Linked DNA regions of Canis lupus familiaris. The protein of the gene in region 3 purifies or fractionates together with the protein of the main gene of each other region. This does not show direct contact. Links are inferred from orthologs where the notes say so. Each region holds a gene or a part of one and is shown on either strand. Other genes may lie near its edges.

Region 1 (4,429 bases), about 5.5 Mb from region 3:
TCTTGCTTCCTTGCAGGGCTGGAGCAGTTTTACCACTGGAGCGAGCAAGTTTGCTTCAGCTGCTAAGGAGGGTGTGAGTACCCGCCCCAGCGCTCCTCCCGCCGGCCCCTCACAGGCGGTGCTGTCTGGGGTCTGGGGGCAGAGAAGGGTCTGCAGGGCGCTCCACGAGGAGTGGGGGGCGTTCCCGGCCCCCAGGCGTGCTCTCGGGTCCCCGAGGCCACGGCCAGTCTCAGGGCCCGCCGTTGGCTGCTTTAGCAGCAGGCACCCACCCGCCCGCCCATCAGGGTGAGCTGTGTGCAGAGGCCAGCCGGCTCTGGAAGGGGTGCCATGCCAAGGCACCGCATGTCGTGAGCCCTGCGGGCAGAGGGGTCCCGCCAGCCCTCCAGCGCCTGTTGCTGGGCACAGAGCAGGGTTCGTCTGACTTTCCTCTCAGCCCTGCCTGCTCCTCCGCCCAAGCGCGGGAGGGTTGGGGATTTTGTCAGGACACGCAGGTGGACAGTGGCCTTGGGCTTAGAAAGGAACAGGCCAGAAACCTTTTGGGGCCATCACCCTGGGGGGTACTGGGGGGTCTGGCAGGTGTGGCCTTGGTAAGGAAGGTGCCCTGGAGGACGGAGAGCCCAGGGCAGGGTCGAGGGGCTGCGTGGCACGCAGGACCGGGACAGGAATGTTCCGAGAGCCAGGAGACCGTGGGCCAGACGGTGCCTGCCGTCGCGTGACCCGCAGGAGCCACAGGGCTGGTCCTGGGCTGGGACGAAGGCCCCACGGACACTGTGCTGCCCGTGGGTGCATGTGCCCTGCATCCTCCCCTGTCCGGCCCGGGAGGAGCCTCGAGGGGCAGCAGGCCCTGTGGCACCGCAGCTTTGGCTCGTGGCCTCTGGAGGGCTACAGCCGGGAGGTCCAGGTGCCTTCCAGCTGGAACGCCTGGCCAGGCCTTTTCCTTCTTTGTAGTGAACGTGGTTGGGGGTGGGGGTGCTGCGGGGAGCTGTGGGACGGGGCCGCACTGGGTGCCAAGTAGGTGCACGGTCTGGGCCTCAGGAACACCCATAGATGCCGGGGCTGGGGGGGCCGCCCCTGCCATGGGCCTGCTCCCCCCGGCCTGTGTGCTGCGGGCTTGCCCCTCCCGACGGCCTCCCTCCCTCCGGGCCTGGCCTAGTGGGCAGCTTTGCTGGGCCCCTGGGGGCGTGGCTGACGGGACAGGCCTGGACCGGGCATTTGTCGAGGGTGGGAAGCGCAGCCTGGGGCCGGGCGTCAGGACAGGCGAGCTGGAAATCCTGTGTCTCTTTCCAGGCAACCAAATTCGGATCTCAAGCAAGTCAGAAGGTAACAAAGGAAGCTTCTGCGTTTTGTGTTGCTAAAATTTCTAGTGTGACGTCTGGTTGGCGTCTGGACGCTGCCCAGGCTGCCGTCATCGGGCCCTGTGCTTGGAGAGGGGACGTTTCTGCAGCTCAGGCCTGTGCTCTCGGACTTGTGCCCCGGCGCCTGCGGGTTTAGCAGGTGGGGTGGGAGGCTGCGTCTGTCGGGGCCTGCGGGGCAAGGCCAGGGTCCCCTGTCCATCCTTGCCTGGGCACCCGGCCGGAGGGACGGCTCCTGTGTGGTTCCTGCCCGCGGGGGGGAGGGAAGCCTGGTAGGGCCGAGGGCCGTGGGCCATGGGGCAGCCCCTCCTTGGGGCGGTGGGTCTGGGTTCTGCGGAAATACCTTGGTTCCCCGTTAGTTTCTCACTGTGAGTGGTGGTTTGGGGTGGTTGGTATTTGTCTTTTTTTTCCAATCTTGGTTGGTGGCCCTGCAGTCCCCAGGTGGTGCCAGGACGCTGGACTGCCTGTCCCCCGGTGTGGGGGTTAGGACTCGGGCCGGAGGCAGCAGCCCTGCAGGCTGTCCCAGGAGGGAGGGCAGTCGCTCTCCGTGTGTGGTGCGCCCGCTTTGGGGTTCCTGACTTGCTCACGTGGTTCTGGAAGTTGTACCTCAGAGTAGAAAGCAGCGAGGGTCGGTGGCAGTAGGTGGGCACCGAGGGCACTCTTGAGGACGCCCGCTGGGGTGACGCAACCAGAACGTGAGGCTGATTAAGGTGTCTGGAGGTGCTTCCTTGTTGCTCGTGCGCACTCTGCCTCTCACTCTCTCCCTCTCCCCCCCTCCCCGCCCCAACCCGCTCCCTTGCTATCTGGGTAAAGTTTTGGGGCACCAAGCAGCAGCCCGAGCTGGTAAGGCGCCACGTCCGTTCTCGTGCATGCCTCCCCCGTTCTCTGTGCTGCCCACATGCTTTGCCCTGAGCGTTCCTGGACCGTGGCCTGTGTGTGTCCTTGCTTACGTGTGCTCGCCCTCGGAGCTTCTCACCAACCTGCTGGGGCCGGGGCCAGGGGCACTGCTCCTGTTGGGGTGCCGGGAGCTGCTTGGCAGGATTTTCATTTCATGACCTCATCACTTCCTGCTAAGTACGCAGAGGGGGTGTCATTGCAGCGGTGAGGTGCTGACGCTGTGCGCTTGCCCTGTGCCTCGAGGCTGCTGTTACTTGGTGCTCTCCCTCTTAGCTGCCCCATCGTCCCGCTGCCGCCCCACCCACCTTGGCTCATCCTCTGGCTCTGTCCCCTTCCCTCTGGGTCAGGTGGCCGCTGGAGGGCAGGTGGGCTTCAACCTCATCCAGTGACCAGAGGTGCACCTGCCTGCACTCCAGCTGAGGGGTAGCATGTGACCTGCTGCAGCACGTGGGCCGTCCTGGGGATGGGACTGCGTGGCTCTGATGGGAAGACCCACAGGTGGCCGCTGTGTGGGACGGACTCCCGAGGCCTTGCTGCCACTCTGGGCCTCTTCCCTCCAGAGCGCGGAGGGCTGGGGCAGTGGTCTCTGGCCGCCCCACCGCCACGGTGCCTGCGGGCCACTTCCGTGCAGCTGCCTCGGGCGCCGCAGCTGCCATGACAGTGGGGTGGGGGCCTCCTGGGTGCTGGGCTCGTGGCCACTGTGCCGACCAGTGTCCTGGGTGACACGCTGCCCGAGCTCACCTGACTTGCCTCTCATCAAACAGGCTTCGGAGCTGGGCCACAGCCTGAACGAGAACGTTCTCAAACCTGCGCAGGAGAAGGTAACGCCCCCGACGCCCGGTGTCCCTTGTCCACCCCCTGAGGCCCTCATTCCAGGGGAGCAGCGGGTGCTGGGGGGCTTTGTCCAGCAGTTCCAACTCCGTCCATTGGGCCCCCATCCCTGGGCTCTGTGAGGCCCAGCCTTGCGCTCCGTTCCTCAGGGTGGGCTGGGTGGGCAGCGCGGAGGTGGCTGACGGCCAGGGAGCCCCCCAAGCAGGCTGGGGCCCGGGGGCGGTGCCGACCTGTCCGCAGGACATTGTGGCTGACCCAGAGGCCCTCCGGGAGGATGCCGCGTTACAGCAGCCTGGGCACAGTCGGTGGCCCCGGCCCCTTCACGCGTGGGGAGGGGGCTGCCCGGGGGAGACGTCGCACACAGCTGCCGCCACGGCTCTTTCCGGCGTGCACTGTCCTTGGTCAGAGACGGCGACGATGGGCTCTGTGCCCCTGGGCTGATGGCAGTGTTTTAACCCACGCAGGTGAAAGAGGGAAAGATTTTTGATGATGTGTCCAGTGGGGTCTCTCAGTTGGCGTCCAAGGTAGGGCAAGCCCTGGAGCTTGGGCGCAGCTGGAAGCCAGTCTCCACATTCCAGGGCGCCTTGGCCAAGAGCAGGAGGGCCCTCCGCGCCCCACACGCTCCCGCAGCCTGGGTGCCCGCCAGGTGCCCGCTGGGCGGTGAGGCGGCTCAGCTGAGCGCTCCGGTGCCGGCTGCCCGAGGAATGTGGACACAGCTTGGTGGGGGGCCCTGTCAGGTCTGCTAACTTGCTTCTTTTCCTTCTGCCTTCGTTGTGCCGCCGCTGCCCTGCCCCGGTGAGTGCCATCTGACGGGCCGGGGCCCCGCCGTCTTCTAGGCGGGTTGGGGTGTGCATGGCCCCCCTCCCCAGCCTGCCGCAGGGGCTTTGCTTGCATGCTGTTTCCTCGAGCTGAGCACTAGGGCCTCCCGCCGCCACCACTGTGTGCACACCGGGCGTCCCCTGGACCGTTCCTGTCGGGAGGAGCATACGAAGGCCTCGGGCCTGAGCCCTGCTGTTCTGCTCGGGTCTCTAAGCTTTGCCGGGACCTTGAGCGGGACCATGTGTGCGTTGTGAGGACCCACCCTGAGCAGCCACCTCCCGTCCCCTTCCAGGTCCAGGGGGTCGGCAGTAGAGGATGGCGGGACGTCACCACCTTTTTTTCTGGGAGAGCGGAGGACACGTTGGACAGGTATGCTGGTCCCCCATCCATGCCCTCGTGCCCTGGGTTCCTTCCCACAAGGTCTCTGAGAGGCATTCGGCATCCCCGCTGGCGGACAGGCCTGTCACCCCCAGGGGCGGCTCCCAGAACCCTAGAGATACTGACCTTGTGGCTACACCTGCCGCTCGGGC
Region 2 (4,429 bases), on a different chromosome or scaffold from region 3:
GGCAGGCGCCAAACCGCTGCGCCACCCAGAGATCCCTAGAATGGGTTCTATAATCATGAGAACGTTAGTAAAAGGATTTATACTTTATTATTATTTTTTTTTTTTTTGAGAGGGAGGGGGAGAGCAGAGAGAGAGGAAGGAAAGAGAGAATCTTAAGCAGGCTCCATGCCCAGTGTGGAGCCAGACATGGGGCTCGATCTCACAACCTTAAGATCATGACCTGAGCCAAAATCAAGAGTTGGGTGCTCCTGAGCTACCCAGGAGCCCCAGACTGTATTTAAATATTATTTTCTTACTTATTTTATATATAAATATAACATGATTCTTTTTATGTGCTAGATATTTAACAAAACCTTTCTGACTTGCAGTTTGTTCATATCAACAACTTAAAACTCATCTGCAGAGCACACCAACTAGTGCACGAAGGCTATAAATTTATGTTTGATGAGAAGCTGGTAACAGTATGGTCTGCTCCTAATTACTGCTATCGTTGTGGAAATATCGCTTCGATCATGGTCTTCAAAGATGTAAATACAAGAGAACCAAAGTTATTCCGGGCAGTTCCAGATTCAGAACGTGTTATTCCTCCCAGAACGACGACGCCGTATTTTCTTTGAGGCCTTCGCCCATCCTGCTGACCCATTTTTCTTCCTTCTTCATACCCCAACTTTCGTGTATTACCCTCTACAATATACTTTTTATTGAGCACTTTGCTGCTGAAATGCTGCCTCTTGCCTTTTTTTTAATTTTAAATTATCTAAATTTATTGTTTGTTATGGTGTCTATAGCAATGTTTTCCTATCAATTTTCTCCCCTATCCCATCCCCACTTTGGACTCATTTGAGAAGACTTGAGAAATGTCTTAATACTCACACTGCTGCATGTAGCTCTTGCTTATTTACTGGTCTGGGGGAAACAGGATGTGTCTCCTCTTTTTAAAAAGCCAATTGACAGAACAGACTACACCGAAATGCTCCTCCTTTTGTATCATTCAGCCTTTTGTTTTAGTTTGGTAAGTTTTAAGAAATTTCAGCAGCAAAGTTGTTATTCAGTGGGCACGATGGACTGCAAATGCCTCGAGTTATGTATACCTGTCCCAGCTGTAAACTTCATTGTCCTTTGTTGGATGATATTTTAAGTGGATATAAAATAAATTGGTCTAAAGGGCTGCCCTCCTTGTTGTGTTTTTAAATTTTAGTTAAAACTGCTACAGCTTATGACTTTGTACAGTAAGATAATTGTATCGATCTTTTTTCAGATTCCTTGTATTTTTTAATAAAGTAATCTTAAACCCAGATAGGTTAAAGTATTAGAAATTTTAAACAGCTTACATTGTTAGTTTAAAGTTATTCTCCCCTCCTCCCCCCCAGTCAGAGTTTTTGACCCTTTGGTTATTGAGTTTAAAACTTCAACTGAAATTCAATACTATTTATTAAAAAAAAAAAAAATTACTAAACTGTGCCTAAAGAACATAACTGCCATATTAATGTTTTGGTTTATATTCTCTATAGTAATAGAAAAACATTTAATACTTGTAATGCTGATGTGTTCATTTGATACTAGTTGAGTAAAATGTGATTGATGCAGTTTACAATCTATCATGCATATCATTAAGTAAAATCTGTGTACTTTTCAGTAGGAATCATTCTCCTCTTGATGTAACACTTGACCTTAACTTTTAGAAAGTGTTCAATTTTTAACTGCAACTGGAAAGGTTGAAAAGTCAGGACTCTTGTATTTTGTGAACTGTAATTTGAAGCAAATTTTAAAAAGTGTAGAAAGAAACAAATTGTCCTTTTTTGTAAAGGTCTGTGGTACCATGTTTCGGCTTTGTGTAAGTAATTTAAATATCCAAAGGGTGTGATGATCAGTTCTTTATATGCAACTGTCCACTTAATAAGGACAAGTGTTCCAGTGTCTCTTATGACTGTGGTCATAAATGATGTTGGAATTTACTATTTTGTGAAATAGTTGGTATCCCTTTACTACTATAATTAATTTTTGTCATTCCAGGAAATCTTTGTGAAGCCAGCCAATTAATAAAGCACTTTAGTATCTGTTCAGGTAGTTTTGAAAACCAACTTTTCCCCTTCAGGATAAGAACTTCCAGGTTACCTAAAAATGCAATAAAAATCTTTATAATCTAAGCTTCTTGGCACATAATTTTTCATCAGGGTTTTTCTTTTATTAAATGAGCACAATAATATTTTTATTTTTATTTTCTTTTTTTGCCATAACCACCTAGCTCCTTGTTTAGTTTTTAATTGTATAGCTATATGAAAGAAGTGGCTAAGACATTTGCTGCACACACTTGAACTGTTGGGTCAGTAGCTTTGTGTTACTGCCCTGACCCCAGTGTAATTCAGGGGGAAAGGTATTTTTATCTTACAGGGATATGTAGCTATGTATTTTACTAATTGTGAAACACTGGAAATTAATGATGCAGACAACTTGGTGTAGTCTTTGAACAGCTCTCTGCAGTGTTTTTTTCTGTTACCATAAATTGTATTTAAGTGCTTGCTCTCCTCTGCTTCTAAGTTGTACCAATAAAATCGGTAACCTCAGCCCTCCCTTCCCATTTGACACTCCTTAGCTTAGATTGATGTAGTTGTTTTAGTTATCCCTGTAATGTGACCTTTATTTTTAAGTCATGGTGTACTGCATTTGTTTGTCACTAGTTGGGCATGTGCCAATAATATTTTGTCCATTCCTTAATTGCCATCTCTATTTTGTCTGATTTTTTTTCTCTTCAGCTGAATAACGGCTTTTTTGCATGAAAAAAAGAAGTTTTTACGATTAGACATGTAAAGGGAAGAGAGAGTGAATGTATTGGACTTTGTAAGCCTAAAAGGAATATTTGGATTTAATAAATAAGGGCTATGTACGATATAGAGTAATCATGTAGTGGAAGATACTTGCCAGTCATAGATTTGTAGGCAGGAGGATCTGTTACTCCCTGTATCTAGGCTGAATGTAAAATCCTTTATGTTGTATTAATGGGGGTAATAACTATTTTTATTTGCTGATGATATACTTGGTTTCTAATAAAGTGTCCTAGGCTCTAGTGAGAACTGTCTACTTTTAATTGCCAATTACTCCCTTTCCCCTTTTCCTGATATGCACTTGGCTAGCTTTTTATATATAGGTTAATGCTTTTTCCTGAAACATCTCACTACTTTAAATGTGTTCATTTGGGTGTGATCCTAAAAAGTCTGCATCAAGAGCACATCTAATATGCAATCTGCATCAGCTCCTAACATCTGGATGACCAGAACTGTTGGAAGATTGTGACGTCTTAAACCCTGGGTTTTGCTTTTGAAATAAGGTTTGAAATACTATTCTTTGCATTAAGATTTGTGTGTGTTTGCTTTGTAAGCCTAGCACCAGGTTTTGAAAATGCCTGTATTGCGAAAGCAAATCCAAACTCTTTCTGAGCCTCTTTCGTTGTCAGAAATAGAATTGCTTTCCATCAGCCTCCAGAAAATTGTGTACCTGGAGTTGAAGAGATTTAACAGCACGAATCCAGATTTTTAAATGTAATTGTTTTTTAAATGCTAATGTTTGTAAAGCACCTTCAGTTCCTTGGATGAAAGGTGCTATATCCTCTCAGTGTAAATTAATAAAAAGATTATAGGAAGTTTGTCAGAAAATTTTATCTAATGCATAGTCTGTAGCATGTCCCGACAAAAAGTTAGCATTTTATATAACACAATTTAAATTAAAAAAAAATGCTTATTCCTTCACTTGGTTGCTTGACTGGTAAACAGAAATGAAACTTTTTATTGTTCTGCATTTAACTTTGAACTAAGTGTCCCAGTTCTTTATTTTTTTATTTTTTATTTTTTTAAAGAATTTATTTATTCATGAGAGACACAGAGAGAGAGGCAGAGACACAGGCAGAGGGAGAAGCAGGCTCCATGCAGGGAGCCCGACGTGGGACTCGATCCTGGGTCTCCAGGGTCACACCCTGGACCGAAGGCAGGCGCTAAACCGCTGAGCCACCCAGGGATCCCCTTTAAAGGCAATATTCATTATTGTGGCCTGGACCGAGTTTCCAGAACCATGCATCATGAGATCATCACAACTCTTTCAATTGTATGTTTATAGTCTGCATTCATGTTCATGAAGTATACAGTAGTAAGATACCAAAAAGCATTTTGGAAAGTCCCGTAGTGTGGTGCCAGACACAGTAGATTCCTGGGGAATGTTTGTTCCTTATTGCCGTCTTCTTAATTTTCTATTTCCTTATCAATCAATTGGTGATTGCCTTTCTTACCTTCATGAGAGATTATGCTGGCTTAGATCACTCAAATATTTCCTTTATTCAAACTGCATGAAATTTGTGAAGATTTTTTTTGTATCAACAAAAATATTACATAAGTATATTCCACTCAATCCCTGGACACCCATTATTCTCAGCACTCTGCTT
Region 3 (4,429 bases):
AAATCTTATACAGAAGTGCAAGTTTGTTATCAAAAGGCAGTCCTGTTGTAAAACTAGACACATGTATATATGACTATGGATATTTTAACAGTATCAATTATTCTTTATGATATATTCCCCAGATATTTTCTAAAAGTCTGCTCTTAATTTCTGAACTGCTTAGACTCTAGAATGTAGAATGTAATGTCTAGAATGTAGCAGGAGGAGCCAGGAATGAACCCACATGCTGTTTTGCTTTAGCTGTCTTTCATAGTAGGTTTCTGAGAATCTAAATCCAGTGGTTCTCGCCCCCCACCTGCCCTGTAGGATCTACCCCCCTTGCTTTATCAGAGTGATTCTCCACTCCAGAGAGTTAGCATGTCTGGGATGGAGGAAGAGGCTCTGGCTCGTTTGCAAGAGGCCCACAGAAGTTCTTAAGACTTCTCCCTCGAATTACTTCCCTAACCTTTCCTGTGGTCTTCAGTGGTGGTTGTGATAGGTCTGTAATTCAGAGTGCAGTACTGCCTTTGGACACTTAGCATTAGTGCTTCAGCTCTAAAAGTCCAGATTGTTCCTGGTCACTGACTCATACAGTTATTGGCAGGTGGAGGAGTGGAGGGTTTAATGTCTTTGGAGACACATATAGTAGTTATTGGCTTGGTTCTTGCCAAGGTACGTATTGAATATAACTTCAAATATAAAATTATTTATAGACATATCTACAACTTAATAATAAATTGTTAGAAAAAATTTGCTTTTTTCACATTTTAAAATGTTCAAATTTTTTTCCTAGAAGGCAATGGGCTTTGGAAGATTTTGAAATTGGTCGCCCACTGGGTAAAGGAAAGTTTGGTAATGTTTACTTGGCAAGGGAAAAACAAAGCAAGTTTATCCTGGCTATTAAAGTATTATTTAAAGCTCAACTGGAGAAAGCAGGAGTTGAACATCAGCTGAGAAGAGAAGTAGAAATACAGTCCCACCTTAGGTAAGTTTCTAGATTGACGTTCAAAAGAATGTGGTGCAGATCTTAGTTACTAAGAGTTAAATGATGCAAGGCCTGCTCTGTAGTATTGTGAAGAATGATTTAATTCACCATTTTTAAAAAGATTTATCTAGATGAGTGCTGTGGTCCTGAAAAGTCCCTTGGAGGTTTATGCTTTGTTAATGAAATATGTACATGAGCCCGTTTGTGTGTGTGTGCACGTGTGTGTGCCTGTGCATCTGTGCATGCATGTGCGCACATAATTAAGGGGAATGATACTTCTGAGTTCTAAGCAGAGGTTGCAGACTGGCAGCCTCTGCAGGTTGACTTTAGCCAGTGGGTCTTTTTCTTCTCTTCCTTCCCTTCCTTCCCATCCTTCCCATCCTTCCCATCCTTCCCTCCTCCCTCCCTCCCTCCCTCCCTCCCTTCCCTTCCTTCCTTCCTTCCTCTCTCTCTCTCTCTCTCTTTCTTTCGTGTTTTTTTCAGGTTTGAATCAGTCATAAATACTTACAGACCTGTCTGCATCAGGTTTAGATCCTTCCCTGGCAACAGCTGGTGGGGGCTGAAGGGCTGCTGTGCTGGCTGTGTTCTCAGCTGCATGAAGTTCTTGGCAGCCCACCTTTCCCACTGTTGCTGAACCCTGCTTTAAAGTTGTGTCTCCTAGTGTTTGGGGATCATACTGCTATGGGAATGTCATGCTTCTCTTTCTCTAATGTGCAGAGAACTAACATTTAGCTGAATTTTTACCCCTAAGAATAAAGATGGTCTAAGGGAAGGAAATAGTCTTAACCAAACCTGAAGTTCATTAATACTCTGCACTAACGTGCAGCTGTATTTAAGTTTTCCTAGTAGGTCTGGAGTTTCAGATGCTCAAATTGGGTGGGTGGATGTGGTGGGGAGGTCTGTGACCAGAACCAGTTTTCACTAGTTTTACATGAGGGGTTTCATCAGTAGTACATATTGTATCTTCTCCAAAACCAAGTATTAGAATATTGATCCTTTGTTGCAGGCATCCAAATATTCTTAGGCTGTATGGTTATTTCCATGATGCCACCAGAGTTTACCTAATTCTAGAATATGCACCTCTTGGAGCTGTCTACAGAGAACTTCAGAAACTGTCAAAGTTTGATGAGCAGAGAACTGCTACTGTAAGTTTTCATTTATTGTCCTGGCTAATTTTGTTTCCTCTATTCCTGTCCTATGTAGCAGTGTGCCTTTCATCATAGTCTAGTGGGTTTTGTCTTAAGAAAGACAGCTTAATGGGATCAGGTATTTGAATGAAAGACTCAGAATACCCTACTGCTAGCATACCTCCAGGTAAACTAAGGTACCAGGCGGGTTTGTTTCCACAGCTGTTTTCTGTGGAAATGTATATATATGAATAGTTGCCTTCTTTATTCTAAAATAAACTTTTGTTTTGTTTTGTTTTGGATTTAGAGAATCTGAAGATAGTGCAGATGTTTTTTCTCCTGTTCTTTGTCCATTAGTGTGGTCCCTCCTATAAACCTGGCTTGTCACTGGTGGTGTTGGCCTAGGTCACCTGGCTGAGGTCACTCCTGTTAGGTTTCTCCACTGGGACGTTACCCTTTCTTTCTTTCCATACTGCCCTCTTCTCAAGTGTATTGCTCTGTACTGCTGCCCATCCTGAAGGAGGAGTGGGGGCTATGTCCCACCTCTGCCTCTGTCTGCATCATCATTTAGAATTCTTCTGCATCAGAGATTTGTCTGTTCTCCCTTATTTACTCAGTCATTTATTACTGTGGACTCATGGATAGTTTGCTTTGAGTTATAATCTAATACTACTTTATTTTCCTGCTCAAATTGTTCCAGCTTTGGTCCTTGGGATCCCTTTCACATGGTCCTTGTTTTAGTTTTTTTTTTTTAGATTTATTAGACGTACAGGCAGGGGGAGGGCCTGAGGGAGAGGGAGAAGCAGGCTTCCCACTGAGCAGGAAGCCCGGTGCCATGTGGGGCTCCATCCTAGGACCCTGAGATCATGACCTGAGCTGAACGCAGACACTTAAATGAGCCACCCAGGCACACTTTTAGTTTTTTTGACCTATCTCATCACTGGGGGGGGGTGTGGTGTGTACTGCAGCATGTCCTTGGCATCTGGCCCTACAAGCTGCTAAACCTTTGATTTGCATATATCCCATCCCAGTTTTAGAACCTGCCATGTCTCCAAGGAGCCCTGGTATCTTTAATTGGAATACTAGAGACCAAGATTTGGGTGTTCTATATGCTCATTGCTTATCTGTAGCCTCCCATTCCAATCTTGAAAAACCTGGATTCTGTATCTACCAACCATTTAATTATTCAGTTCCAGTGTACATGTGTAGGGGTATTAGAATGATTAGCAGTTCCCCCCGTGGGGGAACAACTATGCATTTAAGGGTCATCTGTATCATTTCAGGGCGTGAGCATGGCAGCTCGTTTTTTATAACTGAATAATATTCTGCAGCGTAGATATAGTTCAGTTTATCCCTTCATCTATTGAATACATCTTGCTTGTTTCCGGTTATTGGTGATTATGAATAAAGCTGCTTTAAACATGCATGCGTGTTTTTGTGGGACATAAGTTTTCAACAGCTTTGAAAACTAGCTCGTGTGGTGTAGTAGCTTTGTAAGAAACTGTACACTGTCTTTCCAAAGTAGATGTGTCATCTTTGTGTTTCTCATCACCAGCAATTGGTATTGTCAATTTTTTGGATTTTAGTCTTTCTCATAGGTGTATATGGCACCTCATTCCGTTTTTTGTTTTTTGTTTTTTAATTTTATTTATTCATGAGAGGCACTGAGAGAGACAGAGACATAGACAGAGGGAGAAGCAGGCTCCCTGAGGGGAGTCCGATGTGGGACTCAATCCTAGGACCGCAGGATCATGACCTGAGCCAAAGGCCAAAGGCAGATGCTCAGCCACTGAACCAACCAGGTGCCCCGCCCGGCACCTCATTGTTTTATTTTTATTTTTTTATTTTATTTTATTTAAATTTTTATTTATTTATGATAGTCACACACACAGAGAGAGAGAGAGAGAGAGACAGAGACACAGGCAGAGGGAGAAGCAGGCTCCATGCACCGGGAGCCTGATGTGGGATTCGATCCCGGGTCTCCAGGATCGCGCCCTGGGCCAAAGGCAGGCGCTAAACCGCTGCGCCACCCAGGGTTCCCTCATTGTTTTAATTTGCAGTTCTCTACTGACAATGTGATGAGCATCTTTTCATGTGCTTATTTGCCATGTGTATATCATCTTTGTGGTGTCTGTTCAGCTTTTTGCCCATTTTCAATTGGGATTTGGGTCATCTCTAGTTTTAAAGAGTTCTTGTATATTTTGGATACAAGTCTTTTATCGCATGTGTTTTATAAAGGTTTGCTCCCTGCCTGTGCCTTATCTTTTCATTCTATTTCCTGTATCTAAAAGTCCAACATAATCAGGTTTTTGTGTTTTCCCCCCCTCCTATGGATAGT

The links. Proteins that work in one complex are often made in the same cells at the same time.
Region 1: the proteins of AURKA (region 3) and ARFGAP1 purify together in Homo sapiens (affinity purification with mass spectrometry; 3 studies listed by BioGRID and IntAct, counting the BioPlex papers as one, with this or other methods). This does not show direct contact. The link is inferred for Canis lupus familiaris from reciprocal best matches to the Homo sapiens genes AURKA and ARFGAP1.
Region 2: the proteins of AURKA (region 3) and PPP6C purify together in Homo sapiens (affinity purification with mass spectrometry; 4 studies listed by BioGRID and IntAct, with this or other methods). This does not show direct contact. The link is inferred for Canis lupus familiaris from reciprocal best matches to the Homo sapiens genes AURKA and PPP6C.

What each region holds. Positions count from the first base shown.
Region 1 is NC_049245.1:47,839,455-47,843,883, forward strand, and holds part of ARFGAP1 (ADP-ribosylation factor GTPase-activating protein 1), read left to right. Parts: intron 1-16; coding exon 17-73; intron 74-1,287; coding exon 1,288-1,320; intron 1,321-2,165; coding exon 2,166-2,195; intron 2,196-3,013; coding exon 3,014-3,070; intron 3,071-3,544; coding exon 3,545-3,604; intron 3,605-4,191; coding exon 4,192-4,268; intron 4,269-4,429. UniProt on the Homo sapiens protein: GTPase-activating protein (GAP) for the ADP ribosylation factor 1 (ARF1). Involved in membrane trafficking and /or vesicle transport.
Region 2 is NC_049230.1:58,004,505-58,008,933, forward strand, and holds the end of PPP6C (serine/threonine-protein phosphatase 6 catalytic subunit), read left to right. Parts: intron 1-368; coding exon 369-617; 3' UTR 618-3,637; downstream 3,638-4,429.
Region 3 is NC_049245.1:42,339,148-42,343,576, reverse strand, and holds part of AURKA (aurora kinase A), read left to right. Parts: intron 1-772; coding exon 773-964; intron 965-1,970; coding exon 1,971-2,109; intron 2,110-4,429. UniProt on the Homo sapiens protein: Mitotic serine/threonine kinase that contributes to the regulation of cell cycle progression.